2 linked regions of the Coturnix japonica genome follow. The protein of the gene in region 1 purifies or fractionates together with the protein of each later gene. This does not show direct contact. Links are inferred from orthologs where the notes say so. Each region holds a gene or a part of one and is shown on either strand. Other genes may lie near its edges.

Region 1 (3,626 bases):
AGAAGTCTCTGGAGGTCCCTTCCAACCCCTACAGCTCTGTGATAGGTTGTGATTTCAGCACCTATATATATATATATACAGTATTCATCATTCGCATTCACCTACTGAGCACATCAGTGAGAGCTCATCAGAGGGTGAGTGATAAAGAGCATGGGATGAAGGCACTGAGTGCTGGTGGGGTTGGCGCTGTGCTGCAAGGACACGGGGTGGTGGAACAAATAGAAGCCTGGAGCCCCATGGAGCACAGCCTGGGACAGGGCCCACACTGCCCCATCTGCAGCCCCAGCTCCGCACTGCAGCGCTGCTCCCCCCACCCCACGCACTTTGTTCTGCAGCTGCACGGAGCTCTGCTGCCATCTCTTCCCTCTCTCTGCCCCATCCCCCCCTACTGAAAAAAGGGAAGAATTACGTTAAATGTGGGATTGCAGCGCTGTGGCAAAGGGAAGGAGGAATGGAGAGGTGGGGGGCTGCACCAACAGCCGCCCTCTGCCCCATTCATCAGGAGTTAATGAGGAGAATTCAATCAAGGACGACACAGGAGCCGCAGGGAGACGGATGGTTGTGCGCATTTATTATTGTTGTTTTCTCGTTGATAAACCTGGTCTGCAGATCTCGAGGCCCCGGAGGCCCTGGGGAAAGCGCGGCCCTGTTGGTCCTCCACGGAACGCAGCATCAAATGCACCACAACGGGGGAGCAATGAGGGCGGCTCCGGGCTGGGCAGCACAAACACTTTGCAGTGGAGAGATCGGATCTTTCCCTCCTGTTTTTACAGATATTGAACCCGCAGAGCAGAAAAGCACCGAACACAAAGAGCTGCTGCCCCAGCGCTGCCTTCAGCTCAGCTTCCACAACAAACCCCAGCCCTGAAGGCCGCCGGGGCTCCGTGACGCCATCCCAACTGCGCCACGAGACCCCAGGTCAGGCGTGGTTTGCATGCAGCCCATCCCCGCGGTGGGAGACGGCAGCCCCCCACGTGCCGAGGGCCCCATTCGTCCCATGGAATCATTAAGACAAACGACATGAGAGATTTCCAGGTCGCTGCGGTTTTTTCTTTCGCTCTATTATCCCCAAGAAGATGCCGGGAGAAAGAACCGGAAACCAAAGTTGGCTCAAGTTTTAAATATTTGCCTGAAAGGAGGGCGAAGGGAGGGAATCATGTACAGTTAAAATCAAGCTACTCAAAACACAATCATTCAGGTAAATAACTAGGAGTATCGCCTCTACCATCTAGAGAGAGAGAGAGAATGTCTGGAACAGAGGGAATATTGAGGAAAAAATACACATCTGAAGTCTCTGTGGCCACGATGAGAACTGGAATCCACATACAAGCCAGTTAAAGAGCATTTCAACATGAAATCTTAACTTAGTAGGAAGGTCGGGGGTTAAGCTGTATCTTTTTTTTGTTTTAAATACATGACAGCTGTCAGATATGAAAATGACGGCGGGCTTTCCTGAAAGATCCCCCTGCGCATGTGAATGGATGCTGTGCTGACATCTGCGGGGCGGCGTGACGGGAGCTTAGGAAGGCTGGGAGCCCAGCAGTCTCTCAATAGCTGCGTTGATGTCCCCGCCCGTGGCAATAAGAGCCTGCAGGTTGGCCTCGCGGTTAATGAAGCCCATGGCATTCAGCTGCTCCAGCTGCTGTTGGAATCGCACTTCAGGACTCTGCGCCTGCAGAGGGAAAGGACAAAGACCTCAGCGGCACAGAGCGCAGCTGGGAGAACAGCAGAGTGGGGACTGACATTGTTGAGCCAAGGGAAGCTGCAGAACCACGGCCAGAAACAACCCCAAGATCACCCCAGAGAGGTGCCCAAGAAGCCCAGCAGCAGGTAAATGGGCATCCAGGACTTGGGGGGAGCTCATACATTGGAGGGAGAGCGATCTTTGTGTGTGCATCCGGTGACGGGACAAGGAACGGCTTTCAAATAAAGAAGGGGAGATTTCAATTGGATTTTAGGTGGAAATTCTTTACTCAGAGGGCACTGGGGCTGTGGTAGCGCTGCCCAGAGCTGTGGGTGCCCCATCCCTGGAGGTGCCTGAGGCTGCAGATGGGCCCTGGGCTGGGGTGTGCAGTAAGCCCACAGCATGAGCATTGGAAGTGAATGATCTTTGAGGTCCCTTCCAACTTAAGGCATTCTATGACTCCATGATTACATACTTGAGAGCTTCCTCCAGCCAGCAGCTGGATCATCTGCTGCATGAGCTGCTGTTGGGGGTTACCACCCCCAGCTGGAGAGGCACTGGCCGGCGTCGAAGCGGAGGGAACGGGGTTCTCCGGGATTGTGCTTCCTCCTGTGGAGGACGGGGGCATTCGAGGCATGCCAAAGGAGCCGAGGCTGCAGAGGAAGGCAGGGTTTGCTCAGAGCTGAGCCGGCACTTCTGGCTGTCCCCTGCCTGTCTTGCGAGAGCGAGGTGGCACGGGGAGCCAGCAGGCTCGGCCAGGCTGGCCATGCTCCATGACTGGCTGCGCTCACATCCCACCCACAGCAAAACTGGGAGCAAACCATCCTAATACAGGCACAGCCTGAGAAATCTGCAGAGGCTGAACGTGACCCACACTGACAGAGAGCAGAGGGTCGAGAGCACCCAGCAGCACAATGTGCCCTAACTTACCCACCCAGCCCCACGGTGCACATCCCTAGAGGTAAAACTGAGTTCACCCGACACTTAAACACCTCAAACAAAAGGCAGAGGAGGGACTAAATGGTTCCCAAATCTTTATCCCCAAAGGAAAAGGTCAAGGACTTCCCGCACGAAGTGCAAACAAACAAAGTGCCCATCAGCTGGAGCCCACAGAGCCCTGCAGACACACACAGCATCCCCCGAGCAGATCTGGTTGGTGAGTGGGCAGCCAGGCTGCCATCAAGCACGCCAGCTCTGCCCGCAGCATCCTGCCCTGAGGAACGCTCCTTACCTTGGCACGAGTCCTGGGGCCTCCGTTTGCAGCGTCTGGAGTCCCTGCTGGATCTGGAGGAGCGCCTGCATGGCGCGGGGGTTGGTGAGAATGGACAGGGAGTCTGGGTTCTGCATCTGGGAAGGAAGGAGAGACACAGCGGTGGTGAACAGTGAGAGCTCGTGCAGGCAGTGCTCCACCAGCTGGCAGTCTGAACAGCCACAGCCAACCCACGGGTCTGGGCTCTCCTTCCTGTCCCTGCACCACCGGGCTCATCTGCGCAGACACACTCCAAGAGATCAGATTTCCTACATAAAGTAGGAGAATCAGATTAGGACGGGGCACACGTGCCTCCAGAATTAAAGCCGTTTTCATCCACTTGAGTGAAGCAGCTGCTCAAGCACAATTAGCCAGTCTAATTTTTGTAAACTCATTACTGGGAGAGAGCGTCCACACAGGGGTTTCATGCAGCTGAACTCATCATCATTTCAAGTCAGCCTTGAGGTAATTTACATTACCTCATTTACACTGCCTTGTCCAAACAAGCTCTCCCACTCTTTCCCCTGTACCAACCCCTTGCTGTCACAGCGCAACCCACCCGAGCCCACAGGGCCAGACAGGGGCTGTTACCTGCTGCAGGAAGACTGGGAGCTGAAGGCGGAGCTGTTCTTGAAGCTGTGGATTCCCAGCAAAGAGAGGAACATTTACCATGATCTAGGAAGAGACAGCACA
Region 2 (3,679 bases), on another chromosome or scaffold:
GGGGAAGGACTTATCATAGCAGACATTCTCACAACCAGGCTGTTGAGTATTGCACCGAAAAGCAGACTGTTCATCTCCCCAAGCAGACTCGACTGCTGTCCCCAATAGAAGGATTCGGAAAATAAAGAGGACAGACAGCCATACTTTTCCTCCTGCAGTAGAATACGCTTGAACCTTGTCAAGAAGTTTTCCCAGGGCACTCCAATCACCCATCTTCACGGGATAGTGGCTACAGAAAGAAACAAAGAAAAAGAAAAACAACTGATGGTTAAGACAGATGTTTAATACTTCTGATGAGCTGAATCACACACAGATCAATGCTAACAGTATAGTGGTGTCAGCTTTGTTTTAATTCATTCACTTCACTTAGTCTGCAGGTTGAGTGGGCTGTACAGTAAAGATGAACATTTTATGATGTCTCCGAACACAGTGAAAGACAGAAGTTCCTAATTTCTGTCATATTTTCAAGAAATCCATGGAAACCCCTGTTTGCCACTGTGGTTGGCTAAAACCAGCTTCCCTGATGGCAGCTTCAGTTCAATGACTGACATCTGCTGCAGGCAGAAAACGGCTGTGACACACCGCTGAAGCAGGATGTGGAAGCGTTTGGTAGCACTGTCTGAATATGCTAAGAATAAATGAAAGATTCCTCTCTTTTCAGTGCGTCTCATCCACAGTTATCTATATATTCATTCTTAAAAAGAGCAGGAAAGCAAAACATAATAAAATTTACATTAAAAATGTACTGAATTAGTGTTAGGGTCAGAGACCTAACATTTCATCATTACAAATGCACACTACATTTCCCATGGCAATATTAAACTGAGCTGTCACACACATCAGTACACTGTGCATGATTTATCTGAGTATAGTTGCTATGATGCAAAGTTCTGACTGTACTTCGCTTCAGAAAAAAATCTTGTTTTCTAAATTAAGTTTATAACTAAGTATTTGCAGCACAAAGATCAATATTGGTACTCTTCACCTACATTTTTATACAGGAACCAAAAATACTAAAAGCATCAGGTGCAGCTAAGCTTATGTTACCATATTGGAAGAACTGGTTTCCTGGCTATTTGTGGCTTGTTTGATTTACTGTAGTTTCAACTCCTCATTTGCATCTTTTTAGATTTAAACTCCTTCACTTCACTTTAAAAAGAAAAAGGATTTACCCAGGAAGGAAAGACAAGAGAGCACTTTCTAAGGCAGCTCCTAGTGGGTGATTTGCACTACAAGTGTAGAGCACTGCAAGTTTAAATTGTCTCTCTCAACTTGAGTTTAAAGTGCATGTTTCTGGGAAATGCACCACTTCTCAGGGATATCTGGAAATACATGAGGGGACAAGTGAAATATTCTACTCGATGTTCTATATTCCTAGGAAAAACAAAGCTTCACACATAGCTTTTATCAAGTGGAGAATGGTAACCACTTCTGCTAAAAATCTTACATTTTAACTTGTCCCGCATAAGTGAGCATGTGAAATTGCACACCTACAAGAAAAAATAAGCAAATCTTCCCTTTTGAAGTAGATGCTGCTGGGCAGACACATTTGTACCATGCACGCTGAGTAATCTCTTTCCTGTATTAATAGTTCTGATACTGTTCAAATGGTTTCCTTCCCGTCATGGATATCATGGATATATTCCCCAGTGAAGGTTATTTATAGAAAACAAACAAACAACAACAACAAAAACACCTCTGGATAATTCATAAAATAGGAAATTTTAGTACCAAGGAGATTTTCTTTCACAGAGTGGTGACTCACTGGAAACAGAAGATTATAAATTTGGCATACTCAATCATAACAATATATGCTATGCCAAATTAAAAAAAAACTGTCGCTTTTGCTATCAGAAAGAGTCAGAGAATAACGAGAGCCAAGTGTTTAAAGTACTTGATCCGACGGCTTGGAGATGCCAATTATTTTTGAACGCCTGCAAAATATCCCAGAGCCGGTTCCACAGCCCTCCTGGTCAGATCGCTCTGAAGTGCAGAGGAAGTTTACCTACTGGGGTGTACAGACCCTTCCTCACATAATTAGTTCTTCACATGAATGAAGTCCCATCAAAGGATCAGGCCCTCTTCAAACTTTTAAATCTAGAGGCCTTGCTGGGAGGGACACACAGCATGTTTCTCTCCAAAGGTATCCTTTCAGGACAGATCATTTCCAGGTTTAGTCATTCCCAGGAAAAGATTAGTTTGTCTTTATTGGTTCAGATTGGTAGGAAAGGCGTCAGCACAGGAGCACAGAGGGCTGTGCAAAGGCAGGAATGCAATGTAACTGCGTCCCTCCTCATGCTGAGACTGTTAAAACAGAGAACAGTCTGTAACTATACGGCATGCGAAGTTTGTTTCTCCATGTCCTAGAAGTGGAAGTGGACAGAAGGAGCCTTTTTCAAGTAACAGCTTCTTGATTTAATTAGTCAGCTTTCAGATGATTTGAAACTACCGCATTAACAGAGTTTCCTCAGACTCGAGTGTACTTTTTTACTGTCTAAATGTTATTTCAGATTGAAAGTTTGATTAAGAAAACAGGGGACATGTTATTTCTAGGCAGTTATATGTTGTTTGTTTTTTAATTACACTCCACTCTGCTCCATTACTATAACATGATTTACTTCAGTCTTGACCTACCTAATCCCACACCTGCAATATTTTGAGAATTTACTACTTATTTTTTAATTTACCTCAGCATGCAAAATTGCTAAGTTTCATTTATATCCTCTGGCAATATTAACTCCAGGAGGAAACATTCCACGCTTGAATTACTCATACATAGTTTTGAAAAGGAACTTTTTAAAAAGAGATCGGTTACACGCTAGCCTTTGCCAGTGATAAAAACCCCACGTCAATTCAAAACATTGTGCTTTTAATCAGATAATCTTGTGGTGGCACAAATATATTATTCCTTCACTTAGGTGGATTGTTTTGCTTTATGAAACACAGTACTTTGTTTTGTTTCAGGGAAAACTCATTCATAGTATATAACTTGTTCACTTTCCAGACACTGAAAGACCATTTTAATTAACTGATTCCAATGTATGTTTACTAGGTATAAGAAGTGCTTTTGCATCTAACAAGTATTTAAGTGTTTTAGCTAGTAAATAGTATGAAATTGATGGAAGATTACAGTAAAAAAATTCAGCATCTAGACTTCTTTTAACAATCAAACTTCTTTCAACAGTTCCGCTGAATAGCACAGCTTGATCTGAGGGGCTGGTGCAATTTCAGTAGTTCAGGAATTTTAGGATATGGCTGATGATGCATACACACATTTCATGAGTTCTTACTGATTATTACTTCAAAAAGGTTTTTCTGGGGGGGGAGAGGGGGGTGGGAAGACGACGACTAATGCAGGCCTATTAAACTTTTTAAAAAGATGGATTTCTTCCAGATTCTACTGTGTGCGGGTAAAGACAGGAAAAAACAACACAGAACAGCAGGAGATATTACAGCATTAATCTACATGGGTTTGGATGATCACATATAGAAGATATTTGAATTGTAAGCCACAATTAAGAAATTTGAGAACTATTTTTTATGGACAGCATTCACCATGCCATCTGGTTCATATTTTCCATGAAGAATAATGCAAACTCAGTGTTGTGGTAACATGTCCAGGTCTGACTGCAGGGTTAGAAGGTCACATACTATTGGATGGAAGAACAGTAAAGGTAAG

Evidence for each region.
Region 2: the proteins of UBQLN4 (region 1) and GJA1 purify together in Homo sapiens (affinity purification with western blotting; 3 studies listed by BioGRID). This does not show direct contact. The link is inferred for Coturnix japonica from reciprocal best matches to the Homo sapiens genes UBQLN4 and GJA1.

Annotation. Positions count from the first base shown.
Region 1 is NC_029540.1:71,099-74,724, forward strand, and holds the end of UBQLN4 (ubiquilin-4), read right to left. Parts: intron 3,609-3,626; coding exon 3,525-3,608; intron 3,032-3,524; coding exon 2,916-3,031; intron 2,338-2,915; coding exon 2,160-2,337; intron 1,673-2,159; coding exon 1,520-1,672; 3' UTR 869-1,519; coding exon of another isoform or gene 774-868; 3' UTR 551-773; downstream 1-550. Other genes in the region: cytochrome b5 domain-containing protein 1, read left to right, coding at 774-868. UniProt on the Homo sapiens protein: Regulator of protein degradation that mediates the proteasomal targeting of misfolded, mislocalized or accumulated proteins.
Region 2 is NC_029518.1:56,148,586-56,152,264, forward strand, and holds part of GJA1 (gap junction alpha-1 protein), read right to left. Parts: intron 230-3,679; 5' UTR 214-229; coding exon 1-213. UniProt on the Homo sapiens protein: Gap junction protein that acts as a regulator of bladder capacity. A gap junction consists of a cluster of closely packed pairs of transmembrane channels, the connexons, through which materials of low MW diffuse from one cell to a neighboring cell.